3 linked regions of the Saccharomyces cerevisiae S288C genome follow. The main gene of each other region encodes a partner of the protein of the gene in region 3 in a complex. Each region holds a gene or a part of one and is shown on either strand. Other genes may lie near its edges.

Evidence for each region. The genes of interacting proteins can lie anywhere in the genome.
Region 1: GPI15 (region 3) and GPI1 share a complex: the UniProt entries of both Saccharomyces cerevisiae proteins name them as parts of the phosphatidylinositol N-acetylglucosaminyltransferase (GPI-GlcNAc transferase) complex.
Region 2: GPI15 (region 3) and ERI1 share a complex: the UniProt entries of both Saccharomyces cerevisiae proteins name them as parts of the phosphatidylinositol N-acetylglucosaminyltransferase (GPI-GlcNAc transferase) complex.

The regions. Positions count from the first base shown.
Region 1 is NC_001139.9:920,581-927,643, forward strand, and holds GPI1 (phosphatidylinositol N-acetylglucosaminyltransferase), read right to left. Parts: upstream 3,883-7,063; coding exon 2,053-3,882; downstream 1-2,052. Other genes in the region: 40S ribosomal protein uS2 RPS0A, read left to right, coding at 1-84, 540-1,208; mitochondrial 37S ribosomal protein mS33 RSM27, read left to right, coding at 1,595-1,927; calcium channel protein CCH1, read left to right, coding at 4,116-7,063. UniProt on the Saccharomyces cerevisiae protein: Part of the complex catalyzing the transfer of N-acetylglucosamine from UDP-N-acetylglucosamine to phosphatidylinositol, the first step of GPI biosynthesis.
Region 2 is NC_001148.4:364,477-369,908, forward strand, and holds ERI1 (Eri1p), read right to left. Parts: upstream 2,260-5,432; coding exon 2,053-2,259; downstream 1-2,052. Other genes in the region: MGR2 (Mgr2p), read right to left, coding at 1-251; tyrosine--tRNA ligase MSY1, read left to right, coding at 476-1,954; PNG1 (peptide-N4-(N-acetyl-beta-glucosaminyl)asparagine amidase), read left to right, coding at 2,451-3,542; EEB1 (medium-chain fatty acid ethyl ester synthase/esterase), read right to left, coding at 3,595-4,965; Sec63 complex subunit SEC62, read right to left, coding at 5,363-5,432. UniProt on the Saccharomyces cerevisiae protein: Probable component of the GPI-GlcNAc transferase (GPI-GnT) complex in the endoplasmic reticulum, a complex that catalyzes transfer of GlcNAc from UDP-GlcNAc to an acceptor phosphatidylinositol, the first step in the production of GPI-anchors for cell surface proteins.
Region 3 is NC_001146.8:554,195-559,873, forward strand, and holds GPI15 (phosphatidylinositol N-acetylglucosaminyltransferase GPI15), read left to right. Parts: upstream 1-2,825; coding exon 2,826-3,416; intron 3,417-3,490; coding exon 3,491-3,589; downstream 3,590-5,679. Other genes in the region: YNL040W (putative alanine--tRNA ligase), read left to right, coding at 1-556; transcription factor TFIIIB subunit BDP1, read left to right, coding at 854-2,638; isocitrate dehydrogenase (NAD(+)) IDH1, read right to left, coding at 3,726-4,808; carbonate dehydratase NCE103, read left to right, coding at 5,620-5,679. UniProt on the Saccharomyces cerevisiae protein: Part of the complex catalyzing the transfer of N-acetylglucosamine from UDP-N-acetylglucosamine to phosphatidylinositol, the first step of GPI biosynthesis.

The DNA of each region.
Region 1 (7,063 bases), on a different chromosome or scaffold from region 3:
TTACCAGCTACTTTTGACTTGACTCCAGAAGATGCCCAACTTTTGTTGGCTGCTAACACTCACTTAGGTGCTAGAAACGTTCAAGTATGTTATACTCATTCCCGATTATATAATAGAGTAATGTGTGATTGAAAACAGTTCGAGTGAAAGAATAGCCACAACCAGGTTTCCCGCCAACCAAACGGAATGCTGGGATAGCATTTTTCAGGCTGAATAAGAAGAGAAATATATGAACAATCATTAAAACAGTTTGAAACTCCAGCTAATTATCAGCGAATATTTTGCCAATAGACTTTCTAATTGTATTATGTTATTAAATTTTAAATCGCTAATGAAAAAAAAAAACAAACCTTTGGTATTAAACCTCTTTCAATGAAATCAATTAATTCCGGTACCTATTCTTCCGACGCTGTTAGCCAACTATAAATGCCATTTTTTCATAGTACATTAATTTGAATCAGTTGATCATTCACAGCATATACCAAGTGTACGTTTTTGAATCTTTTATACTAACTTTTTCTTCTTTAATTTTGTTTCAGGTTCACCAAGAACCATATGTTTTCAACGCAAGACCAGATGGTGTCCACGTTATCAACGTTGGTAAGACCTGGGAAAAATTGGTTTTGGCTGCCAGAATCATCGCTGCCATTCCAAACCCAGAAGACGTTGTTGCCATCTCTTCCAGAACTTTCGGTCAAAGGGCTGTTTTGAAGTTCGCTGCCCACACCGGTGCTACCCCAATCGCCGGTAGATTCACTCCAGGTTCTTTCACCAATTATATCACCCGTTCTTTCAAGGAACCAAGATTAGTTATTGTCACCGACCCAAGATCAGATGCTCAAGCCATCAAGGAAGCTTCTTACGTTAACATCCCTGTCATTGCTCTAACTGATCTTGACTCTCCATCAGAATTCGTCGATGTCGCTATCCCATGTAACAACAGAGGTAAGCACTCCATTGGTTTAATCTGGTACTTATTGGCTAGAGAAGTTTTGAGACTAAGAGGTGCTTTAGTTGACAGAACTCAACCATGGTCCATCATGCCAGATTTGTACTTCTACAGAGACCCTGAAGAAGTTGAACAACAAGTTGCTGAAGAAGCTACCACCGAAGAAGCTGGTGAAGAAGAAGCCAAGGAAGAGGTTACCGAAGAGCAAGCTGAAGCTACTGAATGGGCTGAAGAAAATGCTGACAACGTCGAGTGGTAAGTAAGGTGATATTTACAAATAGTATATTAATAATTATAGTATAATGTTTTATTAGAATAACAGATTTCTTTATCAATTTAGCGGCTAAATAAAAATCAAGAAAAAAGAAATACATTCATTGTGTCATCTTGTCACACATTTAGCCATGTACTTTATTTGCTGAGAAGTTTAATCAATTGAGAGTAGTTAGCTATTGTAGTAAAAATGTGCAAATGAAGTCTTATCAACACGTAGCGTATATAGTGATCTAAAACAGTTAGAAATATAATAAGCGAACTTCTAAACCATTTTAGAGCACATAGCCATGGAGAATAGGTACTTGTTTTGACCCGCTCGACGAAGTGGTACGTAGTGATTGCGTGGATTAGTTTATCATAAGACTTTCAATGAACGTACCAAAGGCGAGACTCCTAAAAGTAGCAGAGTTATCTGCGAAGATATTTGATCAAAATTTCAACCCATCAGGTATAAGAACCGGTTCTAAGATTCTAAATGAGCGATTAAAGGGCCCTTCTGTGGCAAGCTACTACGGCAATCCGGATATCCTGAAGTTCAGACATTTGAAAACATTATATCCTGATATTGAATTTGTAGACCTTGAGGAGCAATATCGATTATCTATGGTAGAAGCAAAGAAACGTCGTGGTAAAGGTGCTCCTAAGAAGATGAAGAAGGATGCAGCTGCAACTGCAAAGGGGAAGGGGAAGAAAAAAAAATGATTGGAGCACCCTTACTAAAAAAAATATTCATTATGTAGAAACTCATTTCATGTACATACAAAATCAAAAATAAAACAACAAATAGCTGAAGCAAGAAAACGCTACTTTACTTATAAAAGAAAACGTTATGCCTGAATAGTCAGCCTTTTGTATAAATCCTTTACACTCAATGGCTTACTAGGCAGTGAAGAATAAAGAACATAGTACAGCTTATTTCTATTGACCATTATAGACTCCCCTCGGACAATCTTTCGTACAGTAGCAAACGAGAAATAATTTGTCCTCATTTGCGACAACAATAGATTGTATGGTCTGAACATACTCTTGAATTTAATAGGATTGTTTTGAAGTTCTAAGGTTGTATGCTTGTTAGAAACCGTGGTTTTGAGCTCAATTGAAATGCCACCGGGTAGACGTTTAGGATCTTTTAACCTAAGTAATAATGCGAACAATGGAAAATGGTTAATGAGTGCAATGACAGCTTCCGAGAATATTTCGATAGTTATTGTTAGCATTCTCAAAACTGTGTATGACATATAGAATGCCATCACTGTGGGAGTCAAGAACACTAGAATAATAAATAATAATGTTCCCAATAGCAATTGATCTAGTTGAAAATAGTTATGGTCAATCCTATTTCGTAAAACGTTCCTCTTTTTACCGCAGAACAGGTTAAAAAGACTAGCCATAATATTCAACTGACAATGGTACAGTTTACTGCTGATACGATAAAAAACATATATTGGAAAACTTAAAATTGCAAAAAAATCAATCGCTAGGGAAACAGCAAAAGAAAAGCCAACGAGAAACATCATATATATCGTTAACGTGAGCAAAGATGATAGGGTTTTCGGATCAATGAGTCTTTTTATGAATGTGGTATAAGAAAATTCTATCACCCAAAGAAATAATTCGCTCAAAAAGTTCGCAAGTTCTGCATTTAATTTGATGCCAAGGGGGTTATTTGCTAACGTTTCAGTTATTGTTTTTAATGAATCATATAAAAAAAACTTCAATACTCTATGGGATGCCGACACCAAGAAATCTCGATTCTCAATAAGTATGGCCCCCAATATTAAACCAAATGAAATGTCATTAATAATAAGCCAAATTGTATTATACAATAAAATATAATCGGGATAGAATTTAGAAGGCATATATGAATGTGAGAATTGACTATTAGAATTATCTTTTTCCACCATAGAGCCAACATTCTGTATGTTATCCTTCTTATTAATACGCTCATACTGTACTGGGAAATAGCAAATTTGTTGACAACGAAGATCGATTTGCTGGACAAATGCCGAGTAATTTACCAACTGAAAGTGCGAATAATTTAATAACGAGGATACGAGACTAGCAATAGAGCAGATCACAAAAGTCAAATAAAAACCAATTTTTGCGACCATTTTATAAATACAAGTAGATGAACACCAAGCTGCGACACTATTAAGCATAGTACCCCTCAAATTTTCCTGTGATGTTTGAATAAACGGGTAAAGCTCATTTAATGCTTTACAATATGCGGGGAATAGATTAATGATGTTCAAAGTTTCACTCAATTTCTTATTATCTCTCTTGTATCTTGGATGTTGCTCTAATTTAGAATAGTTCAGAGTTTCACCCACACTACTATGAAGACCAACTTCTTTTTCTGGTATGATGAGCGAGATGGGATCAGAAGAATAGAATTGCATAAATTTCAGCTTGGGTATTCTAAAATGGACATTACAGGGATCAGCAACTTTGTAGTTCCAACCCTCCGCTCCATTGTTCTTAGTAGCTACCACTGAATAAGGGGGCCGTATGCTTACTTCTTCTAAATACTGAGGTTCGCAAACACCTAAGACAACAAAATGCGTCTTCTCAAATGAAATTGCCAAAGCTACCTGAGGTCCTTGAGCTGCGGAATTCTCGAACAAGGATTCGTATGGCCAGAAAATGTAATTTGGCATGTCATTTAACTGTATAAAACCGCCCCTGAATTCGAAGGTTCCTGTTCACAGAGGAATTTTCATTCTTTTTGGTATTATGTTCTGGTAGGTTTTTTTCATATTCTACATTTCGGCATTCTCACTGAAAATAAATATAGATGAGATAGAAGATCATGAATCAATGGTTGGTGACAAGCTAACATAAGGAAAATCAAAATACACGGCATTACTAAATAGAATATATTGTTAGTACTATGCAGGGGAGAAAAAGGACGCTTACGGAACCATTTGAGCCAAATACCAATCCATTTGGGGACAATGCAGCAGTAATGACGGAAAATGTTGAGGATAACAGCGAAACAGATGGTAACCGTCTAGAATCAAAACCACAAGCTTTGGTCCCACCAGCTTTAAATATCGTGCCACCAGAGAGCAGCATCCACAGTACTGAAGAAAAAAAAGGTGACGAGTACAATGGAAATGATAAAGATAGCTCCTTAATCTCCAACATATTTCGTACTCGTGTCGGAAGGAGTAGTCATGAAAACTTGAGCAGGCCTAAACTCTCACTTAAAACAGCATCATTTGGTGCCGCTGAATCTTCCCGGCGTAATGTTTCACCCTCTACAAAATCTGCCAAGTCTAGTTCGCAGTATATTGATTTAAATGATGAAAGGCTACGCAGGCGTAGCTTCAGTAGTTATAGCCGATCATCTAGTAGGCGTGTTTCTAATTCACCAAGCTCAACGGATAGGCCTCCACGGTCGGCAAAGGTTTTATCGCTAATTGCCGCTGATGATATGGATGATTTTGAAGATTTGCAAAAGGGATTTAAAAGTGCAATAGACGAAGAGGGCCTGACATGGCTACCCCAATTAAAATCAGAAAAAAGCCGTCCTGTATCAGACGTTGGAGAAGATAGAGGAGAAGGAGAACAAGAATCTATACCTGACGTTCATACACCCAATGTAGGAGCAAGCGCTACTCCAGGATCAATTCATCTAACACCCGAACCCGCGCAGAATGGTTCGGTATCTGAGGGTCTAGAAGGCTCTATTAATAATTCAAGAAAGAAACCCAGTCCAAAGTTTTTTCATCATTTATCACCGCAAAAAGAAGATAAAGACCAAACAGAAGTTATTGAGTATGCTGAAGACATTCTAGATTTTGAAACCCTTCAAAGAAAACTGGAATCAAGGCCCTTTGTGCTTTATGGACATTCTCTTGGGGTTTTCTCGCCTACGAATCCGCTAAGAATAAAAATTGCTCGTTTTTTGTTGCATAGGCGGTATTCGTTACTTTACAACACTTTGTTAACATTTTATGCCATTCTCCTGGCGATAAGGACATATAACCCTCACAATGTGGTTTTTTTATACCGTTTCTCTAACTGGACCGACTATTTCATTTTTATTTTATCAGCTTGCTTTACAGGCAATGATATTGCTAAAATAATTGCGTTTGGATTTTGGGACGATTCTGAAATGTTTAAAGCCTATGGACGTGAGTATAAATCAATCTTACAGAGATCTGGAATTATGAAACTATACATATATCTGAGAGAAAAGTATGGTAGAAAGCTAATAGATTTCATTATTCCATTTAGGATCATATCGCCGGGAGAAGAGACAAAATATCAACGAAGTTCGTTGAGTACTTCCCTGACGAAACCTTATGGGGCAAAGGAAAATCAGAGGCCTTTTGGCACCCCAAGAGCCTTTGCGAGATCATCGTGGAATAGAATAGATCTGGTATCTTCTGTCAGTTTTTGGCTAGGTATGTTTTTATCCATAAAAAGTTATGATACAAAAACAGGCATAAGAATATTCAAGCCCCTTGCTATATTAAGGATTCTTCGACTTGTAAACGTGGATACTGGTATGCCCTCAATTCTAAGGGGATTGAAATATGGTATCCCACAGTTGGTAAATGTTAGTTCAATGCTAGTTTACTTTTGGATTTTCTTTGGGATTTTGGGAGTACAGATTTTTCAGGGCTCTTTTCGAAGACAATGTGTATGGTTTAACCCTGAAGATCCTACCGATACTTACCAGTACGATATGCAATTCTGTGGTGGTTACCTAGATCCAGTAACAAAACGAAAACAAAATTATATCTATGAAGACGGATCAGAAGGTTCTGTTTCAAAAGGCTTTCTTTGCCCACAATATTCGAAATGTGTTTCCAATGCCAACCCCTACAACGGCAGAATTAGTTTTGATAATATTGTTAATTCCATGGAGCTCGTTTTTGTCATTATGAGTGCGAATACTTTTACTGACTTAATGTACTATACGATGGATTCGGATGAAATGGCTGCCTGTTTGTTTTTTATTGTTTGCATCTTTGTTTTAACTATCTGGCTGCTAAATCTACTCATTGCAGTGTTGGTATCATCTTTTGAAATAGCCAATGAGGAGTACAAAAAGAAAAAGTTCATATATGGTTCTAGAAAGACAGGTTATGTTGCTCGCATAGTAACAGGCTACTGGAAATATTTTAAGCTTAAGGCGAATCAGACAAAATTCCCAAATTGGTCCCAAAAAGGACTAGCTATTTATTCCCACGTTGAGTTTATCTTTGTCATACTTATTATTTGCGATATAGGTATGCGCGCCTCTGTTAAAGTATCGACTTCGGCAAACTGTAACAATATCCTTCTAAAAACTGACAGGGGAATTTCGATTGTTCTCTTCATCGAATCACTGGCAAGGTTAGTATTATATCTGCCCAATATGTGGAAGTTTTTAACAAAACCTAGTTACGTTTACGATTTTATTATATCAATTATTACTCTGGTTATTAGTTGCCTGGCTGTTGAAGGGGTTCTAGGACATATGTATGCCTGGCTATCCATATTCCACATATCCAGATTTTACAGGGTGATTATTTCTTTCAATTTAACAAAAAAACTATGGAAACAAATATTGAGTAATGGTGTTATGATTTGGAACTTATCGTCTTTTTACTTTTTTTTCACCTTTTTGGTTGCTATAATCATGGCTGTGTATTTCGAAGGCGTGATTCCTCCAGAAGAAATGGCAGACCAGCCATTTGGAATGTATTCACTACCGAATTCATTTCTTTCTTTGTTTATAATAGGTTCAACTGAAAATTGGACGGATATCCTATATGCCCTCCAAAAACACTCACCAAACATCTCCTCAACTTTTTTTTGCTCAGTATTTTTTATTATATGGTT
Region 2 (5,432 bases), on a different chromosome or scaffold from region 3:
CTACTTTCACTATCACTTCTGATTATAGACCCGATGGACATAAATAGCCCAAAGGTACCCGCTGAACCAGCAATGTATTTCCCTAGTGTTCTAACTACACCATCAGGACCTGGGCCTTGAGTTGCGATGGCAAATCCACCAAATAGGATGCCTGTGCAGACACCGACGGTAGTACCCATCATCAACCCCATTTTGAATTTGTCCCAATTCGAAGGCTGCTGTTGCGCATAATTTTGTGGAAGAGGAGGCATTATATCTTAATATTGGACTTGAAGCTGTTGCGCTATTTGTGCTATATGATCTTGTGTGGTGTTCTGTGCTTCCTTCTTATGGAAAAGTAGTGGAGTCTGTTTGGTAATGTTGGTCTTGTTCGGGAGTTTTGAAAAGAAAATAAAAAGTGGTTGGCTCATAATGTTAAGAAAGAATTTCCAGTTTCCGATTGAACACAGCAATCTACAGGTAGACATTGTGAATCATGCTCGAATTACGAAGTTGTAGTAATTTGGTCAATAGTAGTAGGAGACTTGTGCCTCTGGTGACTTATTCCGGACTAAGTGCAATAACATTGCCTAAATCTCGATTTTATTCACAGCCTAGTGCTTTAGAAGTACAGGGCACATCGGATTCTCGAAGCGATAATATTTTAGACGAACTCAAACAAAGGGGTCTAGTGTCCCAGGTCTCACAGCCAGAGAGTTTCCTTCGGACGAAGTTGAACGGTAACGATAAGATCAAATTATACTGCGGGGTGGATCCCACAGCTCAGTCACTTCATTTGGGAAATCTAGTTCCACTAATGGTTTTATTACACTTTTACGTAAAAGGTCACGACATTGTCACTGTGATAGGTGGAGCTACAGGGAAAGTTGGGGACCCAAGTGGTAGGAAAACAGAAAGAGACGTTATGGAGAACGATATTAGGCAAAGCAATGTGGCATCCATCTCGCAGCAATTACAAAGGTTTTTCAAAAATGGCCTAGAATATTACAGAAACCGATGTGCTCTCACTGAAGATGTACCTTCCGGAAAATATACACCAAGGAATAATTTCAACTGGTGGAAAGACATCAAAATGTTGGATTTCTTAGCTGATTTTGGTAGGCACATTCGGGTACAATCTATGTTGGCGAGGGATTCAATTTCTTCGAGGCTTCAAACCAAAAATGGTCTGGGATTTAACGAATTTACTTACCAAGTTTTACAAGCGTACGATTTTTACCATTTGTATAAGGAAGAGAATGTGACTATACAAGTAGGTGGTAACGACCAATGGGGAAATATAACAGCCGGTATCGATCTCATCAATAGGATACAGCCTATAAAGAATAAGGGTTTGCCATTTGGTATCACTGTGCCCTTGTTGACGACGGCTACAGGAGAGAAATTTGGGAAAAGTGCAGGCAATGCTGTTTTTATTGACCCCTCAATCAATACGGCGTATGATGTTTACCAGTTCTTTTATAATACTTTGGATGCTGATGTACCCAAGTTCTTGAAGATCTTTACGTTTTTAAACTCAAGTGAAATCAAAAAAATTGTGGAAACGCATATCAAATCACCCAGTCTACGTTATGGCCAAACTTTATTGGCTAAAGAAGTCACAGATATGTTATATGGAGTTGGCTCCGGATCGGATTCAGAAGCGCTTTCTAATATTATTTTTGGACGTTATGACGGAACTTTATCTGCTGCGAAGTTAGTTGATCTATGTAAAAAAGCCAGAATTTTGCAGTATGCTGATAGAGAGATTGACTTAATAAAGTTAATTTGTAAACTAGTAAATTGTTCAGTATCAGAAGCCAGAAGAAAACTTTCCCAGGGAAGCGTGTATCTGCATCATTCAAAATCTAAAGTAAACGAAAATATTTCTAACTTGGCTCCTTTCCTGATAGATGATCGAGTACTGATCTTGAGGATAGGAAAGCAGAAGTGTTTTATAATAGAAATGCGTTAAAAAAAAGGGAGGTATATAAAGTACATGTATAAAATAGGCATGCGTGAGGTGATATTATATCATTTTATGCACTGACTTGTAAATAAGATTATAAACGATTATTCATCTTTACTACTTGCGAACATTTCACTGTCACACCAGGCTATGAGGGCCCACAGCCAGAGAGTCGCAGGGCATAGCAGTAATACACACCAGTAGTGCAGGAAAGAGTCATTGTTGCGTAACCAGTAAAATGTAGCAAGACTAATTAGGAGTACCGAGTAAGTAAACCCTAAAACCAAAAAGCCTTGGTCACGTGGTCTCATGCGCTTATAAATTCTCAATCATGTAATTGAAACAGTCCTGTTGCCTAGTTTCAACTGTTCTATGCTTCTTGATGTTTTCGAAACTTTGCGTAGTGTAATCTTCCTTGTATTGTAGCGAAGAAAAAAGGATGCGTTGGGAACAGATATAGAAGACGTAAAACAACCTGAAGAAGGTAACAGGTGGAGTAGCAATGGGAGAGGTATACGAAAAAAATAACATAGATTTTGATTCAATAGCCAAAATGTTGTTAATTAAGTATAAGGATTTCATACTGTCTAAATTCAAGAAAGCTGCACCTGTAGAGAATATAAGGTTTCAGAATTTAGTCCATACAAATCAATTCGCACAAGGAGTCCTAGGTCAGAGTCAACATCTCTGTACAGTCTATGACAATCCTTCATGGCATTCTATAGTCCTGGAGACATTGGATCTGGATCTAATATATAAAAATGTTGATAAGGAATTTGCCAAAGATGGGCATGCAGAGGGGGAAAATATATACACGGATTATCTAGTAAAGGAGCTGCTTCGCTACTTCAAACAAGATTTTTTCAAATGGTGCAATAAACCAGATTGTAATCATTGTGGCCAGAACACTTCAGAAAATATGACACCTCTGGGCAGTCAAGGGCCCAATGGAGAGGAATCTAAATTCAATTGCGGAACTGTTGAGATCTATAAATGCAACCGATGCGGAAATATCACTAGATTTCCTCGTTATAACGATCCAATTAAGTTGCTGGAAACTAGAAAGGGAAGATGCGGTGAATGGTGCAATTTATTTACTTTGATTTTGAAGTCGTTTGGGTTAGATGTTCGCTACGTCTGGAATAGAGAAGATCATGTTTGGTGTGAATATTTTTCAAATTTTTTGAATAGGTGGGTTCATGTCGACTCCTGTGAGCAATCATTCGACCAACCATATATCTATTCAATTAACTGGAACAAGAAAATGAGTTACTGTATTGCGTTCGGTAAAGATGGCGTTGTTGACGTTAGTAAACGCTATATCCTCCAAAACGAGCTGCCCAGAGATCAAATCAAGGAAGAAGATTTAAAATTCCTTTGTCAATTTATAACGAAGAGGTTGAGGTATTCGTTAAATGATGACGAGATATACCAACTTGCATGTCGCGATGAGCAGGAACAGATAGAGCTGATTAGAGGAAAGACACAAGAAACGAAATCCGAAAGCGTCAGTGCCGCTTCGAAATCATCTAATCGTGGTAGAGAAAGTGGATCGGCGGATTGGAAAGCACAGCGTGGGGAGGATGGTAAATAGAGAAATAAAAGAACAGATTATTATGTGTAAGGAATTTTATCTAAGAACATATTTATAAAACTAACTCATCAAAGCTGCCCAAGAACTCGGCAGCTTGCTTTGTTAACCAGGAATTACTTTCATTGTCGAGATAAGCCAAATGTCCACCCAAGTCAGTCTCGCATAACAACACACAAGGATTTTCTCTAGCTTGTTTGTACGGAATTACGTTTTCACCTGTAACTGGATCATCCGTTGCGTTGATTATTAAAGTTGGGATTTTGATATTAGGCAATCTATTTATCGAACTGGCCTTTCTATAATATGTTAACCCGTCCGGCAGGCCCATCGATGGGGCAGTGAAAAGATTATCGAATTCTAATATGTCTGTAAATTTTTCAGCCTTTTCCAAATTTTCTCTGGTATACGTATAAAAGACTGGTTTCTCAACTGTCGGTTTGTGCGAAACCTCAAAATTCTCTGGTACCTGCAACTCATTCATATTAACCTTGACAGTCCTTGTTAGAAATTGTGTTAAAGTTCTAGAAAAAATATGGTTGGACCACCAATCATGAGCCAACTTGTCCCAAGTGTGTACGAAATCCCATGGGTTTGAGAGAGCGACTGCAGCATTTAATGGACAGTTATCTCCTTCTTCACCTAAGTAGTTCGTTAGCATGGCTGCTCCAAATGATGTTCCGACTGCATATATTTTTCTTTGCGGAAATAGAGCTTTTTGGTGGTTCAAAAATTCTCTCACATCACCTGTGTGTAATGCGGTAAAGATTCTACGGGTGGTGACTTTAGATCTTGAGCAACCTCTAGCATTAAGGACTACCACTTGGAATTTACCGTCACCGACTTTTGATAGATCTTCAGATAATGCCCTGATGAGAGGCTCATGGCTTCCCCCTGCAAGACCATGAAGTACTACCACTAAAGGGTAAGAATAACCCTTAGAATGACATTTTTCAAGTTCCTCAGAGGATAGATATCTAGTTCTCGGGTGAAGACGAGGCCAACCCTTTGGATGGGTGGCCTTTTCATCGTTCGAAAATTGTTTCTCGTTAAAACTAGCCTTTTCAGCATTTAATGAATATGTTTGCTCCCATTCAGGCATAACCCAATCTGCAGTGCAGACCCCTCCATCAGAAAATTTTATAATCTCTCTTCCATAAAATACCTGAAATTTTTTGGAAAAATCACCGGCTGACAAATAAAGGGTCTGTAAGTAACCTGTGAAAAGCAAGCTGTTTAACCTAAAATTTGCACCATCTTTGAGTGTAGGCACGTGTTTGGTTACGAATTCATGAAGAGGAATTTGGCGCTTAGAATCTCTGAAAGCCAAAGACTTGGTTCCTTTCTCTCCCAGTACATGTTTGACGGTGCCGTTATAGCCCCAATGGCTAGGAGTGACAGTTGGATAGTAACCCGAGCGAAACATTAAAATGACAAATATGAAAATACTTGATATCTTGATCTTTTTGCTAATCTTCAAAAATACCGAAAACTAAGTAGGCAACCAGATGCAGAACCCTTCTTATATAATCGATTCCTGTAAGCAAGTGTCAGCAAATAGCTTCTATATAGAGACCTTTCGGTGAAAGTATATTAAAGCCGGCCGGAAATTGAGTAATAATAACCGCTAATTATGCGGTGTGTGGATTCAGATTTTTGCCAGGAGCGATAACCTTCAAATCTAAAACTACTCACTATAAGCGATGAAGCAACCAGATGGTAGCGCTTTGGTGCCGGTTCTCTTGAAGGTTTGTACATGTGCGAGTTCATGAGGTTACAATATAGAAGGTTTATACAGTAGAGCTATACAGGATAATGGAAGTTCAGTTTTGTTCGGCTTTTTCATTGATGGCTTTCTTCTTATTGCTTTCTCTCTTGGCTTGTTTCTTCTTC
Region 3 (5,679 bases):
CATGTGTGGGAAGCGGGTTTCTTTGTATGCAAAATCTGTTAATAAAATTTTACTGGATTCTAAAAACTTATTGAGTTGTTCAGAAACTCAAATTTCTGAGAAGATAACAAGGCAAACCAAACAAATTCAACAATTAAATAAAAGAGAACAGTATTGGATAAAGAGATTAGCACGTACCGCTTCTGAAGAATTAATGAACACACTGAAAGCCAGTGGAAAGAAAAGGGCTTATTTTATGGAAGAAGAATACGGAACATTGGAACTGTTGCTACAGATCCACAAGGAAGTATCTAATTTTTTGAAAGATGATACAGAAGGTTACGAAATTATCCTATGCGGTTATGAAAGACAAACGAACACTGGCTCACTGCTAATTCTTTCGGAATCGGGTGAAAAAATTGCCAATTTGGCTGCTAACTTAGGTTCGATACTACAAAACCTAAAAGGCGGTGGTGGTAAGAAAGGTGGCAAGTGGCAAGGTAAAATTACATCCATTTCGAATGCCGAGTTTGCCGCCCTCTCTGATTATTTAAGCCATGATTTCGCATCATGTTGAGAAATGTGCCATTTGTATACGCAGATTTGTTGTATACATAATGGTAGGTATTTATCGTGATCAAGTCTCAGGAAGTCAATAAGCATGGTCTATTCTTTTCTTTTATGTAGTTTATAATAGGCAACTTTAATGTTCCCAGAAGACGCGTTTTCCATTACTTATTATACCCAAAAAAAAAAATTAAAAAAAAACAACTTCGAACATGCAAACGCAAAGCGAAGGAAATTATAACTTTGACTTCTAACCTATTAAAGAAATACAAACAACCGGCAAGGAGCCACTGATTACCAGGTATTTATGAGTAGTATTGTTAATAAAAGTGGTACACGCTTTGCCCCTAAAGTAAGGCAGCGTAGAGCCGCCACTGGAGGAACACCAACTCCAAAGCCAAGAACCCCTCAACTTTTCATTCCCGAAAGTAAAGAAATAGAAGAAGATAATAGTGATAACGATAAAGGTGTTGATGAAAATGAAACGGCTATTGTTGAGAAACCTTCGCTAGTTGGAGAACGCTCTTTAGAAGGCTTTACCTTAACCGGCACTAATGGACATGATAATGAAATAGGTGATGAGGGCCCCATTGACGCCTCGACCCAGAACCCCAAAGCAGACGTTATAGAAGATAATGTGACTCTAAAACCGGCACCCTTGCAAACCCACCGAGACCAGAAGGTACCGAGATCCAGCAGATTAGCTTCACTGAGTAAGGACAACGAAAGTCGTCCAAGTTTTAAACCGTCATTTCTCGATTCTTCCAGTAACAGTAATGGGACTGCGCGACGTTTATCTACAATCTCCAATAAGCTTCCTAAAAAGATAAGGCTTGGAAGCATTACAGAAAACGATATGAATCTGAAAACTTTCAAAAGACATAGGGTTTTGGGCAAACCTTCTTCGGCTAAGAAACCAGCAGGTGCACACAGAATCAGTATTGTCTCCAAAATTTCTCCACCTACGGCAATGACCGATTCTTTGGACAGGAATGAATTTTCGTCAGAAACTTCTACATCAAGAGAAGCTGATGAGAATGAAAATTATGTGATTAGCAAAGTCAAAGATATCCCGAAAAAAGTGAGAGATGGGGAGTCTGCTAAATATTTTATCGATGAAGAGAATTTTACGATGGCAGAGTTGTGTAAGCCAAACTTTCCTATTGGTCAAATATCTGAAAACTTTGAAAAATCTAAAATGGCAAAAAAGGCAAAATTGGAAAAGAGAAGGCATCTTAGAGAACTCAGAATGCGCGCACGACAAGAATTTAAACCACTACACTCATTGACTAAAGAAGAACAGGAAGAAGAAGAGGAGAAGAGAAAGGAAGAAAGAGATAAACTACTCAACGCTGACATTCCTGAGTCAGACCGCAAAGCACATACGGCGATCCAACTGAAGCTTAACCCTGATGGTACTATGGCAATTGATGAAGAGACTATGGTTGTTGACAGACACAAAAATGCTAGTATCGAAAATGAATATAAAGAAAAAGTTGATGAAAACCCTTTTGCCAATCTTTATAATTACGGGTCGTATGGTAGGGGTTCATACACAGACCCGTGGACTGTGGAAGAAATGATAAAGTTCTACAAGGCGCTTTCTATGTGGGGGACAGATTTCAATTTGATCTCACAATTATACCCTTATAGATCAAGAAAACAAGTGAAGGCCAAATTCGTTAATGAGGAGAAGAAACGTCCAATATTGATTGAATTGGCCCTTCGATCTAAGCTACCGCCTAATTTTGATGAGTATTGCTGCGAAATCAAGAAGAACATTGGTACAGTAGCAGACTTCAACGAGAAACTAATCGAATTACAAAACGAGCACAAACATCATATGAAGGAAATCGAAGAAGCAAAGAATACGGCAAAGGAGGAAGACCAAACTGCACAAAGGCTAAATGATGCTAATTTGAATAAAAAGGGATCTGGTGGTATTATGACAAATGATTTGAAAGTTTATAGAAAAACGGAAGTTGTTCTGGGTACAATTGATGACTTGAAAAGGAAGAAACTCAAAGAAAGGAATAATGATGACAATGAGGATAATGAAGGAAGTGAAGAAGAGCCTGAGATTGATCAATAAGAGACATTTATATGCATACATAATGGATAAATAGCACAACTTTTTGTTGTATTATATCATTTTCTTCAGGTGTACCGCGGCATCAATAAATGAAGCGATGTTCGGAAGAAAAAATTGGCAACGAAAACAGTATTATGAAAGTTACATATGAGGATCGTTCTATAAGCAAAAGAAACAAAAGGATGATATGATTAGTAAAGAGTATGAATTTGGTAAGACTAGTATACTGAATAGAAAGAAGTATACATTAGTTATCGATGAAGACAAGAATGGCAATTTTATAAGATTTACCGTTTTACCTGTATCTAACCGAAAGTTCAAAAAAGTCAAGCAAAATGGGAGGGTAGAGATTAACATGGGCATACAATATCACCAAATTGTACTTATTTTACTACTGAATATTTTGTTCTATGTAATTTGCCTAAGATCAAGATTTCTCGAACATATTAATAGAACTTTTGAAGTGACAATCGCGCGAAGTTTCCAGATCTTAATTATAATGGGATTGTTTGCCTTAGGTACAATTATACTTGTGAGGGGACCTAGTGTGGAAACTGTAACAATTTTCAAAGAAAGTGGACTACAGCTGTCCAGAGTGAAGGGTATGGTTATATTTCCTCAACAATGGAATCGGAAGTTCTTTGAACAAGTAGAGTTTATATCCAATGAAAGAATTATTGATGTAGTGATCAATGAAGGATTCTGTCGGGGATTTCGAGTGATATTCTATCTTGCAGCAATTGTACGTAAATCGTCTACGCTTAAGCTATTATTTCCAGTATGTATTCAAGCGAATTTAAGATTGTTTCTTACTTCAACGATCTGATTAGAAATACTAACACAACAATGCAGTCAAATTTGCCCAGTATCGATGACCAACGTCTAATATACAACATATCTAGAAAATATCTCAGTAAGCAAGAAAAACCCCTGAGCAGACCAAAAGATTGAACATCAAATTATCATTACAGAAAATCTTGAGACATTTTGGTATATACTTATATTTTAGTGTATGTTTATATATAATTATAGATAAGAATTTGAACACACTTAAGTTGCAGAACAAAAAAAAGGGGAATTGTTTTCATTACATGGTAGATAATTTGTTGATGATTTCATTCGTGAAGTCAGTAGTAGAAGAGGAACCACCAATATCTCTAGTGGTATGCTTACCTTCTGCGATCGTTTCATGAACTGCCTTTGAGATTCTAGTAGCATATTCATTCAAACCCAAATGGTTCAACATTAACGTGGAGGAAAGGATCATGGCAGTTGGGTTAGCCACATTTTGGCCTTTAATATCTAAACCAACATGTCTGGAACCTGGTTCGAAGACAGCATAGTCCCTGCCAAAGTTGGCACCTGCCACCAATCCTGGACCACCGATCAAAGCAGCGCCAATGTTGCCTAAGATGGTACCGTACATTGAAGGGGTAACTAGGACATCAAATTGATGAGGTTTGGCCACCGCCTGCATGGAGGCATTGTCGACAATGATGGACGATACGTCAATATCAGGATATTCTTTTTGGCCAATTTCAGTTATTATATTTCTGAACAGACCGTCACCTAACTTCATGATATTTGCCTTATGCACAGCTGTGACAGACTTTCTGTTGTATTTCTTGGCGAAGTCAAAGGCAAATCTGGCGATCCTTTCTGTCTTAGGTCTAGTCATAACTTTCAAAGATTCCACTACACCAGGGACGGATTCATGTTCCAGGCCTGAGAACTCACCCTCCGTGTTTTCTCTAATGACAATCAAATCTATGTCTGGAATTCTAGTCTTGACACCCTTCAAGGATTTGAAAAGGGCCACATTGGCGTAGATATCTAGTTGTTTACGCAAAGCAACGTTTAGTGAACCGTGACCTGTTTGGTCAGCAGGAGTGTGCCATAGCCCCTTAAGACCAATCTTATTTCTCTTTAGAGACTCAACAGCTTCATAGACGCCTTCCTTATGATCTGTTTGCTTAATGTTTATAGTTTCCCAGTCGATCGGGATATTTTCAGCCTCAAAAATGGTTCTCACTGAATCAGTGATTTCTTTCCCAACACCGTCACCAGGTATCAAAGTGACGGTGAAACGACCGCCATACTTCTTGGGTAGGGTGCGTTCCGCCTGAGCGGCAGTGGCTAAAGTTCTCTTAGCAATTGTTCTGTTAAGCATTTTTCTCTTACAATTATGGAGGAAAAGGGAGAAGAATGAGGATAGGGAGAATAATGAACCTTGATTGTTACCAGTAATATTAAGGTACTGTTGAAATAGATCTACGGTAGAGTAAAGAAATCAATCAATCAAGAATAAGCCAATGAAGCGGAAGAAAACAAGAAAAAAGACCTATGGAAAATATAGATAGTCCTATGTGCTCACCCACATAAAACACTTATATATATATTCAGTGTAGGCATGTATTGTACGGGGATATATATATGAGGGTCTTCCTTTAATCGCTAAATAACAATACCGAGCTACCAAAAAAAATAAAAGAAGGTTTCTGCAATATGGTTGGTTGATGAGTGACCTATGACGCCCGATGCTCGGAGAAGGTGGTCAGGCACACGTGATTCACCTAAACTCGGCGCCGAAAAAAATTTGATCAGCCGTACAGTGTGATTGTTATCACGTGATAGTAACGTAAGTCACGTGCTTTCTAACCATCACCCCGCACGAACGTTCGTTCCCGTTTCGATGTTGACGTCAGAATGAGCTAACTTGACGCCACTGAATTAATTCGCATTGTCACCATGACGCTTATCAAGCCGAAAAAATTACTAGTGATTCCTTCCTCCCCCTCTCTCGATGAGTAATTTTGAAATGAACAAGTAGGCTGACATAGAGTACTATAAATACTTAGGAAGTAATGATTCTCGAGGATAGGTAAGAGCTGTCCTCTTCTAATTCTTGTTCGTTTTCTTCTGAAAACCCCAACCACATCAACTACAGCTAAGACTACAAATTTCAATTATTACACATCAGAATGAGCGCTACCGAATCTTCATCTATATTCACATTGAGTCACAACTCAAACCTACAAGAT